Lonchura striata: one gene and its partner. The protein of the gene in region 2 purifies or fractionates together with the protein of the main gene of each other region. This does not show direct contact. Links are inferred from orthologs where the notes say so. Each region holds a gene or a part of one and is shown on either strand. Other genes may lie near its edges. The genes, in order: PIDD1 and CASP2.

Region 1 (9,330 bases), on a different chromosome or scaffold from region 2:
CTCCACCTTGTTCATGCGTTCATCGTCCGTCTCGATGCCGACGCTGTCGAGGATCTTTTTCAAGTCCTTGGACGTGGGGGACTCGTTGCCCCCGAGCACGGCGAGCAGATAAGCTGCGACGTAACGCATCCTGCGAGACAGGGGAGCAGCGTTTCGGCACGGCCGAGCTCCGTGCGCTCGGAGGCGCTCATCCCTTCTCCCTCCGAGCCACAATCCCTTGGCTCCGCTTCCAGAGCGCCCGCGCCCGCCCGGCCGCGCTCCGCACTGTGCCAGCACGGGGCCGGCACGCGGCGGCCCGCACCCCTCTCCCGAAGAGAGAGCGAAGCGGCAGCGCGGCATCGTCCCTCCGGTGTCCGCTCAGCCCGGCCCGGCCCGTCCCGGGCGCAGGCCGGGAGAGCACATGGCCGCCGTTCTCCCATCCTACCCACCACCCCCCCCCCCCCCCCGCCACGAATGATCCGGCCCGAGCCCCGCGCGGCGGCGGCGGCCGGCGCGGGGCCGGACGGCACCACTGCCGCGGAGGGGGGCGCGGCGCGCGCTCACCTGGGCGGCGGCGGCGGCGCGGGACGGCGGCCTGGGACGTGCGCGCGCGAGGGCAGGCGGAGGCGAAAGGAAGGGGCGGGGCCTCGGCAACGCCTTCTTCCCGCCACCCCTCAACAACGAGCGCTGCCATTGGGCCGCACCGGCGGGCAGCGCGCAGGCCAATGGGGAACCGCGGGTGCGGCCGCCGCCAGCGCGGCCGGCGGCGCATGCGCAGAGCGTGGGGTGCCCGCTGTGTGCTGCTGCGCGGCCTTGTTGTGTGTGCTGGGATGGGTGTGGTTCCCCAAAATCACGGAGTCACAGAGTGAATGAGACTGGAAAACACCGCTGCGACCATCCAGGCCAACCTCTTACCGAATACCACTCTGTCAGCTAGAACATGGCACTGAGTGCCACATTCAATCTTTCCTTAGACACCTCCAGCACCACCAGTCCCGGGCAGCCTGTTCCAAAGCCTGACCACTCTTTCTGTGGAGAAATTACTGCTGATGTTCAACCTAAACCTCTCCTGGCACAGCTTAATACTGTCCTCCAATTCTGGAATCCTGGCCTGGCCTGGCAGGATCAGCACAATCCCCTCTCTTTGTCCCATCAGTTGGGTTCTGCCTCCATGTGCACATCAGGCACATTCACACACAGTCTTCATATTTGCTTATTTTGTATCAGTGCAGAGATGGGCAGTGGGTGATGAATCCAGAAAGTCAGTGCCTGGCTCTGCATTTCTTCATGGAAAGGGTGGTCAGGCATTGGAAAAAGCTCCCCAGGGAGGTGGTGGAGCCATTGTCCCAGAGGTGTTCTGGGAACAGCTGGATGTACTAGTTAGCTTTGGTCTAGTTGGTCAGTGGTGGAACTTAATGATCTTGGAGTGGCCGGCAGGATTAGGGAAGTGAGCATCCCTCTGTACTTGGCACAAGTGAGGCCACCCCTCGAGCCCTGTGTCCAGTTCTGAGCCCCTCACTTCAATACAGACATTGAGGTGCTGGAATGTGTCTGGAGAAGGGCAATGGAGCTGGCAAAGGGTCTGGAGCACAAGTCTTGTGAGGAGCAGCTGAGGGAGTTGGGGGTGTTTAGCCTGGAAAAAGTGGGCTCAGGGGTGACCTTAGCACTTTGTACAGCCACCTGAAAGGAGGTTGTAGAAAGGCAGGGTTTAACCTCTTCTCCCAGGCAATTAGCAACAGGAAAAGACCTCAAACTGTGTCAGGAAAGGTTCAGCTTATATATTCAGAAGAATGTCTTCACACAAAGGGTGATTAGACATTGGAATAGACTGCCCAGGGCAATGGTGGAATCATCTTCCCTAGAGGTGTTTAAGGAAAGACTGGACGTGGTACTCAGTGCCATGGTCTAGTTGTCATGGGTTGGACTGAATGACCTTGGAGGTCTTTTCCAATCTGAGTAGCTTTGTGGTTCTGTGAAATACCTCAGCTCCATGTGTGGATCGGCTTCTTGCACACTGGGTGACAGAACCCGCTTGTGGGACAGCAGGGCTCTGTGCAGGAGGGACAGGGCTGCTGTCCTGTGCTGGGAGGCTGGGAGGTGGTAATCCATGGCAAGGTCTCGCCATAGGATTATGGGAGTCACCACCTGTGCTTGTTCACTTGATTTCCTGCACTGAGGAAATTAATAGAAGTAAAAAGTTAACACTGCGCTGAAAGCCATTGGACCCAAACAAACCAGGAGTGCTGGTTCAGCAGCAGAGCTGTGTGTGGGCTGTGGCTGTCCCTGCCTTGCTGCCCTGGAGGTGCCCCAGAGATCCTCAGTGTTGGGGCTTCTGTGCTAGTTCAGGTGCTCTCAGAAAACAACCAGGCTCAGAGTGCTACAACTCAGCCAGAGCCTGGAGTAGTCAGTGGTTACTGTCTACTATGTGTAGGAAGAGGAATTTCCCTCAGCCACGTGCAGCTTGCATCCAGAGTCCCAGAATGAATTCAGTTGGGAAGGTCTTCTGAGACCTTCAAGTCCAACCTGTGACCAAACACCACCTTGTCAACTAGACCATGGCACTGAGTGCCACATCCAGTCCTTCCTTAAACGCTTCCAGAGATGGTGACTAGATCAGTTCCCCGGGCATGTCGTTCTAATGCCTGAGCACCCTTTCTATGAAGAAATTCTTCCTGATGTCCAGCCTGAACCTGGACATCAGCTGGAGAGCATGTCCTCCTGTCCTGTCGCTTGTTTCTTGGGAGAAGAGGCTGAACCCCACCTGGCTACAAACCTCCTTTCAGGGCAGCCCCAGCCCTGCGCACTCTTAGGCTCGCAGCCCCTGCTCCATTTCTCTCCCTGGAATGAGCACAACCCCCGGCGGTGCCCGTGCCTCCCTCTCCCTTGGAGCCTAGGGGAGCCAGACGGGACGGGCTGCGGTGCCGGGACCGTGGCCGTGTCGGGAAATCTCCTTTCGTGCCCTTGCTGTGGCAGCAGGAAGGGCACGGCTCCCCATAGCAGCCGGCCGATGTCCCGCTGCCTCCAGCGCCTCCCCCGCGCCGTCCCGCCCCGGATCGCGGCGCGGCTCCCAAGAACTTTTCAGGAAGTGGCGGGCAGAGCCCGGCGCAGCCCAGCCCCGGCGGGCCGGGGCCGCTGCGGAGGGGTGAGAGCGGCGGGGCCGTGCTCGGCCGGGCACGGGGCGCGCCTGCGGCTGCTGCCGGGACCTGGGCAGCGGCGTGGGGTGACGGGCCAGGGGCACAGCGTGCTGCGGACAGCCCGGCCCGGCTGTGCGTGTCCGTGTGCGGGGTGTGTGTCCGTGTCTGTGTGCGGGGTGTGTGTGTCCATGCGGGGGGCTGTGTGTGTCCATGTGCGGGGTGCGTGTCCGTGTGCGGGGCTGTGTGTGTCCGTGTGCAGGGCTGTGTGTGTCTATGTGCGGGGTGTGTGTGTCCGTGTGCGGGTGTGTGTGTCCGTGTGCGGAGTGTGTGTCTATGTGCGGGGTGTGCGTGTCCATGCGCGGGGCTGTGTGTGTCCATATGCAGGGTGTGCGTGTCCGTGTGCGGGGTGCGTGTCCGTGTGCGGAGTGTGTGTCTGTGTTCGGGCTGTGTGTGTCCACGCGCGGGGCTGTGTGTGTCCATGTGCAGGGTGCGTGTCCGTGTGCGGGGTGTGTGTCCATGTGCAGGGTGCGTGTCCGTGTGCGGGGTGCATGTCCGTGTGCGGGGTGCGTGTCCGTGTGCGGAGTGTGTGTCTGTGTTCGGGCTGTGTGTGTCCACGCGCGGGGCTGTGTGTGTCCATGTGCAGGGTGCGTGTCCGTGTGCGGGGTGTGTGTCCATGTGCAGGGTGCGTGTCCGTGTGCGGGGTGCATGTCCGTGTGCGGGGTGTGTGTGTGTGTCTATGTGCGGGGTGTGTGTGTCTGTGTGCGGGGTGTGTGTGTCCGTATGCGGGGTGTGTGTGTCCGTATGCGGGCTGTGTGTGTATGTGCGGGCTGTGTGTCCGTGTGCGGGGTGCGTGTCTGTGTGCGGTGTGTGTGTGTCCATATGCGTGGTGTGTGTGTCCGTGTGTGGGGTGTGTGTCCGTGTGCAGGCTGTGTGTCTGTGTGCGGGTGTGTGTCCACGTGCAGGGCTGTGTGTCCATGTGAAGATGTGTGTTTCAGAGTGTCTGCAGCACCATGTCTACCCATGTCTGTTGCCCCTGAGGCCGCCTCTGTGGCTTCTGGAGATGCCCTCTGGTTCCTTCACCACTGACAGTTTTACAAAGCTATAGCTGATGGATTTTATTCTTACATGTGTCTGTAAGGGGGATATGTACATGTTGTGCACAATGTCTTTGTAAGAAGTGCTCACCTTTATACTAAAGCAGTAGTTTCACTTTTATCCCATTGGCACTCAGTTTCTCAAACCAGGTTCAACGAGGACCCAGTACAATTTGTGAGCTGCCTCTGGGCTCTGCTTCCTCTTCTTCTTGCCTTTACATTTCTGTCCTTTCAGAGTGAGGCATTTCTGCTGCTTCAGGGGATGACGCCTCCCCCAGACTGTGTCTTGGGAACATCAGTGCTGCCATGTCCCACAGGCTAACAGTAAAGGTGCTGCTCCTCAGGGTGTTGCTGGGGCATTATCTTCTTTCTGCTGGCCTTGGACTTTAAAGCCAAGTTTGTTCTAATTCTGCATTACTCAAAAGAAACTTCTGTTTACCAGTTTGATCCATGGCAGGGTTAACAAAGAGCTCCTGATATTCACACTGTGAGCTAGTTTAATTGCCCAGCTCAGGAGGTGTTACTCCTGCACCACCAACATGCCTTTTCTAACCCTCTTGCTGCCCCTATCACATTTTCTCTGCTGCCCTTTGTCCATTTGCTTTTATCCCATTGACACTGGGTTTCACAACCGGGTTTGATGGGGACCTGTCACAGTCTGTCACCTCTGGGCTCTGCTTCTGGCTCAGCTCTCCCTGCCCCAGTTTTCTTCTCTACTTGTAAAGCTTCCTACTAAGGCATCTTGAAATCTACATTAGGCGTAGGCATTTACATTTGTGTCTTTTAAAGTTAATATTGGTCTTTATTCTGATGGTGCATAATTGCTCCATTTCCTGCTGAGATGTTGGCTGGAAAAATTCAGAGGTTTTTCTCTAGGAGGAGAAGCCCCTGTGACATCTGTCATGTTGCATTTCTGTGCTCTTTGCTCCAAAGCTTTCAGTAGCATGCATGTAATCTTTCCTACCATCTTGCTGTGATTATGAACTGTTTCCAGCCACTCTGGACTGGGGCAGGAAGCTTCATTGTGTACCTGTGTTCTTTTTCAGAGCCATCTTTGCTCCTCTCCTTGTCCCAGCTGCCTTGTGGTGCTGCCAGTGCCTGCCTGCCTGGCAAGTCAGAGCATGTCTAGACCCTGTGGATGAGATGCAGAAGATGGCAGAGCTGCTGGGGCTCAGGGATGAGTGTGAGGAGGGGACTGTGGGGGCTCCTGCCCTCGCTGGCTCCTGCCTTGCTGACAACAGACTGAACCTGGATGTTTATCCTGACGGCTGCCGCCGTTTCCTCCAGCTATTCAAGGAGCAACAGGGAGAGGTGGTCCAGGTTGAGTTCCTCCGGCTCAGCAGCAACGATTGCCTCCTTGACACCACACTGGGCAGCCTTCCTCATCTGAAGCACCTGAAATCCCTGGTGCTTAAAGGTAAATTCTGGGGTCCGTCGCCATCCAGCTTTTCTAAGCTCATATTTTTTATCCTTCTCTCCATATCTGCAGGACAAACTGTCCTTGGAAGTGTTTTGTTCCAGTGCCCCTTACCTCAGCTTTGGCTCAGCCTTGCTCAGAGCTGAATGCAGATTTCAACATGATACAGCTTCTGGACTCTTATTTCCTCCCTTTGTTTTTACAGCTGCCTGGGGACTGGGTTTTTGGAGTCTCGTTCAGTTGATGCTGCAGCATTTTCTATAGCCATTCTCTAGAAGAAGAGCATTTTTGCAGTTATGCAAGAAGAGGGATTGAAAGGTGTTGAATCTTTTGGTGAATGTTCAGCCCCTATTTAGTCTTGCTTAGTGTAAGTTTAGCAAAGTTCAAGACAGACCAGAAAATGCTGTTTGACATTTTATGTAAAGTAGGACACAGGGTGTGCATGTAATTTAGAAAAGTGTGATAACTGTTAGAGCTATAAATATTAGATCATTCTTGGACTGTCTCATCAATTTATTGTGGTAGGATCTCAATACAACAAGCATTGTTTCTGTGTCAGACTGAATAATTTGCTCTTTGGGAGGTAGAATTTTAAAAATAAATGAGAAAAAAAAGGGGAGTTTTGGGGCAGAATTCAGGGTTCCAGCTGAAAACTGAAAAGTCTAAGGTTTGCTTCTATATCTGTCATAAATTTTCATGTGAATAATTTGATTTGTGTTTTCCCCCTTTAGTAAGGTGGCAATAACAGCAGTAACCTTTATCAGTCTTGTTTTGTGAGATGTACACACACCCTGAGCATTCTGAAGTGCAATAAAGTAGTTCAGTAAGATCTTATGTACAAAGTGCAATGTGCCTAGTTCAGTAAGCTCTTATGTACAAAGTGCAATGTGCCTATTTGCTTGTTCTCATTTTGTACCATTATGCAGCATAAAAAAATGTTTGGTGCCCTCTGCTGTATATGGATATAAATAGAAAACAGTAGAGAAGGAGTATGAAACAATGAATAAGTGGAACATTTGGAAGTTTCCTTTTGTTTGCTCAAGTTATTTTCCAGGGCTGCAGCCCTTCTCTAACTTGAGTGTCACAAGCTGGGATACGGAACTTTCATTCTTTGCTCTCTGTGTCTGCCTACAAAATACTGAATTACCTACTTCCCCCACACACATTTTCACTGCTTTCCTCCTGTCTGCCTAGAAAATACTGAATTACTTGCTTTTTCCTCCCGCATTTTCCCTGCTCAGACGTGCCCCCCAGTCTTGCAAGGGCAGATACCAGTCCTCAGGGCTGTTTGCTTCTGAACAGCATGGATAAATCATTGAGGGCAAGGACTATTTCCTTGATCCAGAAAGTCTTGTGCGTTGGCCACTGGTAGTGAGGAAGAAGTGAGGAAGGAGAGTGGGAGGCTTGGAGGTATATGGGCCATCCTGCTGAAGTGTGGTAAATGTGTGGGGTGGCGTGGCTCATTCTGAGCTTTCACTCCAGATGTGTTGAACAGAGCTGTACTGGTTCACTGTGGTATCTCCTGGTTTCATAACAGCTCTTCACTGTTACACTCCTTTCACTGATCAGGAAACAGGCACGGAGCAGAAAACTCACTTATCTGAGCACTTTGTGATTAGTGCTGCTCATTGTTATCAGTAACTCCCAATCTTGTGAATCTCTGTGCTGAGTCTCACATGAGGCTGGTGAGCTCTCCTGGTAGCATACTGACCTCTTCCATTTCCCTCCACCCAGGTGGCCTTGCTAGGGATGAGTTTGGTTCCTATCAACATGGCTCCCTGACAAGCTTGCCACCTGACTTTGGGGACCTCAGGTGTCTTACCCACCTGGATCTCAGCTTCAATAGACTCTCCACCTTGCCGAGCTGCATTCTCCACCTCCCCAGCCTCCGTGTGCTCCTGGTGAGCCACAACAGCCTGATGACACTTCCTGAGGACTTTGGCTCTCTGAGTAAACTGACTTTCTTCTCTGCAATGAAAAATCAGCTGAAAGACTTACCTCAGAGCATTGGGGAGCTGTCATTGCTGCAGGATCTGGATCTCTCAGAAAATGCTTTGGAACTGCTCCCTGAAGAAGTTGGGAATCTGCACAACTGTACAGAGCTGGATCTCTCTGGGAATCGCTTATTAAGCATCCCAGAATCCCTAGGTATGTATTTTATTGGGGAAGAGAAGGACGTGGGCTTTGCCAAGCTTTTGGTACAACCTCTGAGACTCTTGGTCTCTACCCCAGAGCTGTTAGCATAAACTATTTTATGTTGGAGCCAAATGGAAGGGGTATGCAGAAGGATACTGCTTGGTTCAGTCAGTGCCTTTGAGCATTAACAACTCTGGATCACACTTCCTGTTTCTGTGAATCATAAACACTGCTGAAATTTCAATACAATTTACAATGACTGAGGATCTGGCCTGGCTGGTTTTGGGTAGCAGAAGAGCTGAGGTTGGTGGGATGAGAATCTGGGCTTGAAATCACACTGTCCAGTGTGGACCAGTCCACAGAACTGGGCCCTGACTTCTGCTGGCCAGCATCCTGGGTCCTGTATTACTTTGTGACTGAGGCTGATTTTGCTGCTGTTAAGCTTTTGTGCTTTTCCCTCATTATGTGTGTGTTGACATGGGCTGAGGAGAGAGGGTTGGAGCTGATATGCAATGCAATTAACAGCACGGATGGGGGGTCATTTCTTGTTCCAACCTGCAGCCAATTTGAAGTCTCTGCGTCGGCTGCATCTCCACAGCAATCTCCTGGTGACAGTCCCTGCCTCTCTTGCCAGCCTGCCCAACTTGTCCAGACTTGATCTGCAGAACAACTCCCTCCGTGCCATCCCTGCTGAGATCCAGGCCCTGCCGTTTGTGCACGTCCGAGGCAATCCCTTGGGAGAAACGGAGCCATCCCCGAAGGCTGGTAATTGCAAGGCTTCTGCTGCTGTGTGTTCTGCCCAGCTGTTCCCTCACTCAGCCCAGCAGGGTGTAGATGGGTTTGGATTAGAGAAGACAAGCAGGGGGGAATCAGTTCAGCAGTTATTTCTCTGGAATAATTATGAAGTTGTAAGGATACAGACAGTATTAGTTATGTCTTTATGAGGCCTATACCAGTCTGAAGGGCTCAGGAGTCCCTGGAATTGGGCTTTCTTGGTAGGGTTTCACAGTGGAAGTAAAAATGGGACTCACAGGAAACATATCAGGAGAGGTCCCTAAAGGGGTCCAGCCTTCTTAGCAGAGGTGAGCACCAGTTCTTGGACTTGCTGCTTGGCCCTAAGGCTGTGGTGGCTTATGCTAGAACCTCAGAGAACAGCAAGAGGTCATTCTGTGCAGTTGCCTCCTGCTTTCCTGAGGTTCACAGGCTGCAGAGGAACAGCTCCTTATCCAAGAGGAAGGTGATGAAATGAGCAGTATTCTGAGCAGGGTCTCCCAATGATGCTCATGTTCACAAGAGCAGGCACTGATTCCCAGGATTGCCCCAGGCAATCAAACATGGCCCTGGGAGCTGCAGAGGAAAACTGAAATATTTTTGAATTCCCTCTGCTTCTGAGTTTCCCTGGGGGAGAGCGAGCATTTTCAGTATGTCCTGGAACCTCGAAGCCACATGCCATCCTCTTGCTGCTGTGTGTTCTGGGGCCCACTGCAGTGTGACCATGGTTCCATTAGCGACTTCTGTCAGATTAGGATTAAGCCAAAACTGTTCAACCTTTCTTTGTCTACCTTGGTTT
Region 2 (10,009 bases):
CAATGTAACATGGAGCTATATAAAAGTGTTTATTTTTTGGAGAAGAATATTAGTAAAAAATATGCCCATTGTGTCATATTTTTTTCCTTCAAAGAGGTCTTCACCAAAACAGTGGGATGGATGTAGGTTAGTGTAATTTGTGCAAGACAGCTCCTTAATTATGATATTCTTGAATACCACAGATCCCAGGTATTCAGTCTGTATTGACTGCACACAGTGACAAGTGCTGTCTCTTTCACACAAATGGGGTTTGGAATGGGAGACAGGAAAGACTCTCATGTCTGAGAACAGAGTAAAAAAAGAAAGCACATCAACAGAGAAGGAACTGTGAATACAGACAACTGCTGAGATAAATGCCTACATTTTACAAAAGCACACATACCCTAGCTACATCCAGAACTGAAAGTTACCTTACTGCTCTAGTGCTACACTGAAGTAAGATGCTGAATTTACCAGGGCAGACAGGCCTATTAAATAATACTGCTTTTATTCTGGGATTTCAACGAATATTTGAATGTTGATTAGACAAGGTACAAATGTCCTAGAATTAACCCTTGTAGTTATTCCGTGTCTTGCTTTTGCAGTAAGCTCAATCTGTATTCTTGTTAAGCTAAGCCTTTTTAGATATGTCTGGTAATAAGTGCTGATGGTCCATTTATGCATTTTATGTTTTGCAACTGTGTCCAAGTATTCCAACTATTTAATATGCACACACACAGGAAATTCAAATATGTTTACATTGGTGTGCACAGATTTCCCAGGCTTATGATGTACATACACTTACTCGTGTGTCTATATTTTTACTTTGATCATAATACTTAGAAATGTGTTTATATGCTCACATTTCACATTGAAAAAACTGTTCCATCTTCCACAGATGTCTGTCCCTTTAAGTGCCCATCTGTTCTCAAGTGCCTGTTACCACCATCCCTTCTACCATGTGGTTAGAGACACGATGGAAGAACATCCGCCAAACCTTGCTGCTTCTGTTCACCTCTGCTCTTCTCATCGGGGTCACCATGCTGGCCATCTCCTCTAACATCAACCCAGTAGGCTACTTCTTCCTCGGGGTAGGGGGAGTGTGCCTGGTAGGCTATTTGCTGAGTGTGTTTGTGGAGTGTTACCTGAGGAATCAACATCGGCATGATGCAAATGAAATACCTCCAAACAGGCAAAGCCAAGCAGGGTAAGCAGCAACCTGGTTACTCCCCTTTAACTCTCTCACCTCACTCATGGCCATTTTAAGCACTCTTTTGCTGTTCTTCCCCTGAGGCACCAAACACAAACTCTATTTCCAAAGACAAAAGTTCTTTTCAGATTTTTTTCCCTCATTACTGATATGGAGGTTGCAAATGTCAACGCCATGCATGTCCTGTGCCTTTTATAATATGAATTTTCTTCTCCCTAGGAACTGATCCGCTAAAACTTTACAATGTTAAACCTATCCAGGCCCATTTTATTTTTCTTTGAGTAATCGAGGCTTGCCAAACAATGAGTCAGACAAGGAAAAAGAAAAAATGTTGAAGCAATACCAAATCTTATTTGGGTTTAACTCTATAAACCTTATCTTTAGAGCAACAGTTTCTTGGCAAACTTTAAGAGAAACCTGTAACTGGGTGTGTTTCTACTCTTAAAATTCCTGTTTGACACTAACAAAACCCCTGAGTTTTAGAGACTCTTGATTACTACCACCTCTTCTTGGCTTCATGTTCATTTGCAGATTCTTAGCATCAACCTAATTTAACCCCAGTTTTCCTACTGTCATTGAAGATCTTAACTCTATATGTAGCCTTGCTTCCTTGCATAATCCAGATAATCATTATCCACGTGCATAAATGACTTGACATTCCCAAATAAAATATTTCTTTTTAGAAAGACTATATAAAAAAGAAGTCTATACTGGGCCCTGCTAGTTTGGGGGCATACTTAAAGAAAACTAATATCCTTTTATTTAAAAATACAACCTGAAAAGGAAAATGTCTCCAAAGTAACATTTTTTTCTTTGCAAATAGTTCTTTTAAACAAAGAATGAGTAGCCCTTGTTTAAACTAAATGAAACTACTTAATTTTCTCCACTTCTTAAAAATGGATGGACATTTAGCTAATATATTTAAAGAATATGTCCTGATTTAGGTTCTTTATTCTATGAGACAACTAGTAGTTAGCAATCCTTAGTGATAAATTTCAACTCTAGGCGGACACCAGGTTAAGCCTAGGACACTGAACTGAACAGTGTGGGTAGCTTCACTAACTCTGAGGAGTGAGGGAAAATGGTCAGATGAGCTACCTTCTACACCAGTAAGAAAGACGTTCAGTTGGCTGGAGAGATGAGCTGATCCAGGGCAGAATATCCTGCACAGCAATTCCATTGTCTCAGTCCCATTTGTTGATTGTAGCATGGTCCCTATTGTCCATGATCCGTACTGTAAACATAAATTATGCAGTAAAATAATGAACGTGTCTGGCATTGCTCTCTGGCACAGGGTGAATGCTGCCTACGAAGCACCCACCTATGAGGAGGTGATGACCATGTCAGCTCCAGCCATATGGACAATTACATCCAACCCAGGCTCTGTGCCCTCGCCGCTGAGCGAGCCTCCCCCGTACAACGTCGTTATTGAATCCTCTGCCCAGCAAGACATGATGGTGGAGGCTCTCCGGGGACCAGTGCCACCAGACACAGTGCACACCTCTGAGACAGACACGGGCTTCAGGACACAGCTGCAGCTGGTGCTGCCTCCAAGACTGCAGCGGTTTGTTTCGGACATCCATGAGAACAAAAATGTTGAAGAAAGGTTTGAACCACTGGAGCCACTCACTCCACCACCTGCTTACGAGACTGCCATCAGTGATGAGGTCTTTGCAGATGCTCACCAGCCCTCTGCATTAGGACTGATTTCACCTTCGATGAACACAGAACCAAACCCCCACCTCAATACAGGATGTTCCTAGAGGGATGGTAAAACAGCAGATAATGTTTTGCTTAAATGTTTGTCTCACAACTCTTTCAACCAGAATTGAACTACAGACACAGCTTCTGCTACAGAATCTTTTTGCACAAAACAGAAATCAATGCAATGCCACACTGCTTTGACTTGGCAGATACACAAAACCACTGTGAGGAAAGTAAACCTCTGAAGAAGGACTGTAGGATGCAGCCAGAAGAATCTGCCTGGAAAAGTGGAGGAATAGAAATAACATTAAGCACATTCTGCCTGTGCATTGCAAACAGCAATATTGCTGAGTGCAGTGTGACTTCAGCCACCCTGAAATCCCTACAGAGAGAACAAGCCTGTGCTTCTTACCTTGCTGTTTTGCAGCAACACAAATTTATGGTCTGAGCTGTTTCTGTCCGTCTGCCACACCTGCTCCACATCCTCAACTGGGCTACATAAAAGTGTGACTGAGGGGAGAGTATCTGACTGCATCTGGAAGCTGGTACCACCTGATTCCTGTCACTTAGGGTTGAAAAGCTGATAGTATGCATCAAATGACTTCTGTTGTTCACAATGTTGTCATCCCACACAGCCAGTGGTGGACAAGAGGGAGATAAGTTTTTCCCCTGCAAGAAAGGCCAGCAATGGGATATATACACATGTAAGCATTCTCTGCTTGGACTTCATGGCTCTACAGCAGGGTTTATGTCTGCTGTATTACAGATGTACTCTAACAGATGGCATGAGACACTTTACTGTCATCATGCACAGAAAGGCCAAAGCTCCTCCAGTTCTCTGTGGGCTCTGAAGAGGTCCAGTCTGTCTGCCAAGGCAGTGGAGTGCCAGAGGACAACACTCCCAAGACATATTTGGCCTTCATCATGATGGTTCTGGGCTGTAGGCGTGTTCTAGCTATCACTGATCTCACTGATGCAGTGCCTTTTTAAATGGGTGAGCTAAACTGATCAGCTCTGCAGTGTCAAAGTGGTCTGCAGTATGCAAAAAGATGCATTTGCATCTAGTGAATGTCCAAATTAAAAAATAAAAATGCTGGAATGAATCTCCTGTGAAGAGAGCAGCAATCATCCCAGACTTGCTCATGACTGCATCTTTAATTCATATGAGGAACCATCAAACCATAGGCTAGAAGCAAATAAATTATTTCTTATTGTTTGATTCTCTATAGTTCAAGGGAGAAAAAAAATAAACCTTTTATGTTGTTTATAAATAAATAGGACTGCATTAAAAATTCCGGGTGGCATCATTAATTTTTCCTCTCAAAGGAAACACTCCACAAAGCCATGCTTTTGCTTGCATTCTGCTTATTTAATAATCTTGACTTAGAAAAGAGAGGATTTTCATTTCTGAATCAGCAGCTGAATCACTTTATTATCATTATTGATGAAGCAATTATGATACCTCAATCATGGAAGCATTAGGAGAGACAAACTTGCTGATCAAGGAAATGTGATTTCTTTAATGTCAATCACTACTTGCATTTCCCTCCTGTATCTGCTCATAGAAAAGAAAAACACCTCACCAAAAGGTGTCACCGGTATGTGACACAGGCACAGAAACTTTGAGTCTTAAATTGTGCAACTCAGGACTTGTCTGAGTACATCAAATTGCCAGGAGTCAGGAAGAAATTCAGGTGGCCAGCACAGACTAAAAACTAGCCAAAACAAAGACCAAAAATGTTACCCGTTATGATCAGTACAATTTTGTCTTCAATATTTCTAAAGGTTGGACTTATGTTAAGCTTTAGCAGATAGAATTCCTGTGCACCCGGACACATGAAATCAGTGTGCTAAAGAGTTATGTGCAGAAGCCATCTGAAGCTTTATATTACTTTTTTTGTTGTTGGGTTTTTTTTTGTTTGTTTTTTTTTGTTTGTTTGGTTGGTTGGTTTTTTGTTTGTTTGTTTGTTTTTTGGTTTTTTTTGTAAGTTGTATGAGGAGCAGCTGTGGGAGCTGGGGTTGTTTAGCTTGGAGAAAAGGAGGCTCAGGGGAGCCCTGAAGGAGGCTGCAGCCAGGTGGGGTTTGGTCTCTTCTCCCAGACAACCAGCAAAAGGGCCAGGGAAATTGGCCTCAAGCTCTGCCAGGGGAGGTTCAGGCTGGACACCAGGAGGAATTTCTTCTCAGAAGGGTTGTCAAGCATTGGAATGGGCTGCCCAGGGAGGTGACGGAGCCACCGTCCCTGGAGGTGTTTAAGGAAAGGCTGGACATGGCACTCAGTGCCATGGTCTAGTTGCCATGGTGCTGTTCGGTCAAAAGTTGGACTTGGTGGTCTCAGAGGTCTTTTCCAACTGATTTTTCCAATTTATTCTGTAACGACAGCTGAGAATTTGCTTTCGCTAGGGTGCTCGCTTGACCTTCCCTTTGTATTTCCCTTCGTGTTTCTCCGCACCATTCCTCCCTCCCTGTTAGTTACAGCACGTTGTCATTTCTGATTGCAGCTGATCGCCGCAGAAACCCTTCTCAGCAGAGGCAGAGAAACTAAAATAGGTTAAAAATATAAGATCAAAAAAACAACCCGGAGGCGCTGGGCTTCCCAGGAAAGCCGCAGCCCCGGCCCCGCAGCCCTGAGGGGGCGCGCGCAGCCCGCGCAGGAAGAGGCGGGAAAGCGCTCCCGCCGCGGCGGCGGTGACGTGCGGGCGGGAAGCGCGTCCCGCCGTTTGAATCGCGGGGGCCGCCGGGAGAAGGCGGGACGCGCGCTCTTTCCGCCCGCGCGTCGTCAGGCGGCGGCCGCGGCCCGCGGGGTCCCGCCGGCGCGGTCGGCCGGGGGCACGGCCGGCTCCTTGCCGCGGCGCCCGCCCGCGGTGCCCCCGCTCCTCCCAGGATGCTGGCGGCGTGCGGCATGCAGCGGTGCCACCAGGAAGCGCTCAAGAAGAACCGGGTGATGCTGGCCAAGCAGCTGGTGTTGAATGTGCTGGTGGAGCACATGGTAGAGAAAGATATCATCACCACGGAGATGGTGGAAATGATACAGGTACGCGGGTTGCCGCCTGCGCCGTGAGCTTGGTTTCTGGCTGAGCTCGGTGTCGTTCCTTGCGGTGGCGGCATGGAAAAAACTCACTTGTTACCTGCACGTTTCGGTGTGATCGCACTCAGAGGAGCTGCAGGGGTTTGGTTGCAGAGTGCAGAACTGTCAGGTGCTTTTGTAGGAAGGAAAAGTGCGTTTTTTCTAAGATTCCCTGTGTTCTCTTGTGCAGTTGCAGCAGGCTGCACTTAGTGGATCGGGTGGTAGCTTCCAGTCCTTTATTGCAGTTGCATGCTTATCTTATTTCTTCCACGTGTAGAAGCAGGAATAATATGTATTTCCAAAATAATACTCTGAAAATAAGTAAATGTATATGTTACGTGCCGGTTTGTTGTGGCACCTTCCACATAAAGAACAGGTGTTTCCTATATGTTTTTGTAAATTGCGTGAAGTGCATTTCAAGGCTCACTGTCAAATAACAAATGCTGTTTGTTTGTAGGGTTGTTAGTTTCCCTGTGCAGTGGGTACTGTGGAGAGAAGTCATTGGAAATAGCTTGGGATTTCTCCCAGAGGGATGCTAATGCATAGAACACTGTGCAGGATGAACATAAAGGTCTTCAGAGAAAGCAGGCTGGAAAGAAAGTGGTTGAAAGTGCACAAGTGCATGCCAGGGCTCAAGTAAGGAACTGAAGGAGTTTTTAGTCCCCTAGCAAAGTTCATGGTCCCATAATAAAGAACGTAGGCTGAAAAATAGGATTATGAACTGGTTTTTTGGGCATGAGTGTAGAAAATGCAAACCTGAGACTGATAAGGTTTTGATAGCAGTGAAAAGATAACTTCCTGATTAATTTTTGAGTCATGGTCAAAGATGATGTGAATCACTTTGCATACTTTGACGCAATGTCAAAGATAATGTTAGATGCCTCATAGGGCCTGTTAAGGATATCAGTGCTGGATTGTGGGAGCTCCAGGCAATCTCACCTGAAATAGCTCCCATCCCTAGTGGAAGAGAACAAAGATACCATGAAACACTGCAAGCCAGAGAATGAATCAAGGATTTTTCTGGGTTCGGGCTGGAGCAGTTAATTTCTTCATAGTAGGGGTATGGGGGTGTGTTTTGGATTTGTGCTGGAAACAGTGTTGTTAATGTTTTAGTTATTGTTGAGCAGTGCTGATCCAGAGCCAAGGCTTTTTCTTCTCACCCCACCAGCAATGCTGGAGGTGCACAAGAAATTGGGAGGGGCCACATCCGAGACAGCTGACCCCAACTGACCCAAGGGATATCCCACTCCATTTGGTGTCATGGTCAGCATGTAAAGGTAGGGGAAACTGAGTGACAGAGCATGGTACTAATCATGCCAGGGTCTTGGGTTTAATCTGTGTAGGGGCCATTCACTTAAGAGCTGGACTCAGTAGTCCTTGTGGGTCCCTTCCCACTCAGAATATTCTGTGAGTCTGAGTCACCACTGTGAGTGCTGGAGCCCTGCTGTCCTTGGAATGGCTGTACTCCTGGCCGCCAACAGGAAGTAGTGGATTAATTATTTGTTTTTCTTTGTTCTGTGGCTTTTGCTTTGCCTATTAAGCCATCTTTATCTCAGCTTTTCTCACTTTTATTCTTTGGATGCTCCCCACCATTCCACTGGGGAGGAGGTAATTGAGTGTCTGGTGCTTAGCAGCCCACAGGGGTTAAGCAGCAGCATTGCTGAAGTGTGAATGGTGAGTAGGGGTGGGCTTTTGATGGCCTGCACTTTGTCACCTAATAGGAAGCCGGGAGAAGGGAAGAAAAGGCAAAAAAAAGATCCTCTCAAACTTATGGTAGTGATAGAGAAAGTACTCTTTTTGGCAAGGTGCTGTTGTAGGGGAAAATTATTAAACTGAGACAGAAGGGAAGAAGTCTAAAGGAATCTTCCCCTCTAGATGTAATTGAGTAAAAGGGAATGCAACAATACTTAGTAGTGGGTTATCAGTAAGGAGAGAGGTGTTATGATGGATATGTCAGGTAAAGAGTAATAGCTCAGTGGAAAAATTATGCCTAATACAATAAACACACCTAATAAGTGCTTAAATGTGTATAAATAGCAGTAGCAGGCTGAGCAAGAGAACAGAATGACTTGAACTACTGTTTCAGGGCATTGATCTGGAAATTGCAACAAAAATAGAAATATGGCAGAGTTGGAAGGAAAGCTGGATCTGCAGATTATGCATTGTACTGGAAGGATAAAAATGAAGGGACTTTTTACTGAATAGTCCTAGACAGTGGTATGGAGAAAAAGTAAAATGTGTTTTAAAAAAAAATCACTTGAATGGAAAACACTGTCTTACCTTTTGATCTTCCTGTGGTAGGTCTGTAAATTTTTAATATTCTTCCTGTCTCTGGCTAATGTGAGGACAGGTCTTAGGAGTGCTGTTAAGTAGCCTGTTATTGAAAATGTATTGTGATGATGATTGCCAGGTACTTTAATGGAAACAGGAGGAGCCAAATGCCATTGTCTGATGAAAGAGAATATATTCTCCTGTATATATATGGATATTATAACTGACTGGTTCTATATATATCCTCCTGCACCCCCAATAAGTCAGAAAATAAAGATCTGGATACATAGTTATGTTTTAATCATCTTTTCTTAAAAACACAACGGTTACACTGGTCCTGTTGGCTTAATTTAAGGTAAACAAAAGAAGAAAATGGAAAATTTTCTGGAAATAGAAAATTCTGGAAATAGAGTGTTTAAGTAAATTTCTGTAATCTAAGGAAAGTGAAATAAGTCAAGGAGCTCAGGGAGATGAGCCATGACATTTTTTCCAAGTATGAGTTGTCAAACCAGTACTGAAACTTTACCCCAAGTAAGAAAAAGATGGGAGGGGGAGTGTGTTCCAGGAAGAGCCACTGAAGGCAAAGGTGGTTGAACTGGATGAGGAGCTCATAAGGAATATGAAGAGTAAGTAGAGAGTTTATAGGTGTACAACATTGGAGAAGAATCAGTAAGTAGAAGCTGCTTCCTTTGATGTCTGAAATGTGGGGAGATAGTAGGATCTGACAGCATTGAATTTAAATTAGGTCATTCAGAAAGATATTAAATCATGGGAGTTTTTTTCCACAATATATACTTTCAATAAAGTGTAAAGAAAAAAAGTGTGTTTACTTTGTAGTGAAAATGATGTTATAATTATCTAGGTGAAAACAAGAAGAGGGGGGTTTCAAACACGGGGGCAATTATTTTGGAAATAAAATGGGACAGTGGAAACAGCTGTTCTTAAGGCAAGCTCCAACATCTATTTGCATAAATGCCTTCTTGTCAGAGCATCAGATATTCTTCCAGAGCTCTGGGCTGCACTTTTAAAATTGCACATATGGTAGCAAGAGCTTTCTTGCTTTTTAAACAAATTGAGTACTCTGTACTGTAATCAAAGACTGAGATTATATATATACAGAAATTTAAATACTCTCTTGATACTAGATAGTAATGAAAGGATCACTGTTTTTGACAAGTGAGAAAAATTTGATTAGAATGTTTGTCAATTTTATATGCTTTTTCTATGGATTCTGCAGGTGTATAATAAGACTAATATGGAATTTTGACAGGACTTCAGAATTAATTTACAATTAGTTTCTGTTATGCCAATTATCAAACCCATCTAGAGGGGAAAGAAATAAATTAGGGATGTACTGGGAAATGAAATGAAAGAAGTTATCTTACTAATTTCTGAATGTTTGCTGAACATTATTTAGCATAACCAAAATGTGATGTTGAAGATGAAGTCATATCATGAAGCACAGCCCTTTGAGTGTTTAAGGAAGCATTAAGGAAGAAGTCTGCCAAAAGCTGACTGCTGTGCATACAAAGTGCAGAATATGAACATTCTGGAAATTTAACTTTTCAATAAAACTAACAATCTGGTTCTTGAAGTCAGTTTCTATTTTTAACTATCATTTATAGCTTAGTCACAGACTGTGAAAAAGATGAATGACTTTAGCTTGTCTCAAAACAGCTGCAAGAAGGAAGAAAAATTCATTAGCTACTTAAGAAATTAAGTCTCAATTTAATTTGTTAGTTACAATAAAACTCAGTGAGCTTACAGCAAGATACATATAT

What was found.
Region 1: the proteins of CASP2 (region 2) and PIDD1 purify together in Homo sapiens (affinity purification with western blotting; 5 studies listed by BioGRID and IntAct, with this or other methods). This does not show direct contact. The link is inferred for Lonchura striata from reciprocal best matches to the Homo sapiens genes CASP2 and PIDD1.

What each region holds. Positions count from the first base shown.
Region 1 is NC_134608.1:44,801,641-44,810,970, reverse strand, and holds the start of PIDD1 (p53-induced death domain-containing protein 1), read left to right. Parts: upstream 1-5,303; 5' UTR 5,304-5,350; coding exon 5,351-5,624; intron 5,625-7,358; coding exon 7,359-7,772; intron 7,773-8,321; coding exon 8,322-8,525; intron 8,526-9,330. Other genes in the region: RPLP2 (large ribosomal subunit protein P2), read right to left, coding at 7-129. UniProt on the Homo sapiens protein: Component of the DNA damage/stress response pathway that functions downstream of p53/TP53 and can either promote cell survival or apoptosis.
Region 2 is NC_134604.1:30,172,139-30,182,147, reverse strand, and holds the start of CASP2 (caspase-2), read left to right. Parts: upstream 1-5,764; 5' UTR 5,765-5,774; coding exon 5,775-5,924; intron 5,925-10,009. Other genes in the region: TMEM139 (transmembrane protein 139), read left to right, coding at 939-1,186, 2,484-2,952. UniProt on the Homo sapiens protein: Is a regulator of the cascade of caspases responsible for apoptosis execution. Might function by either activating some proteins required for cell death or inactivating proteins necessary for cell survival.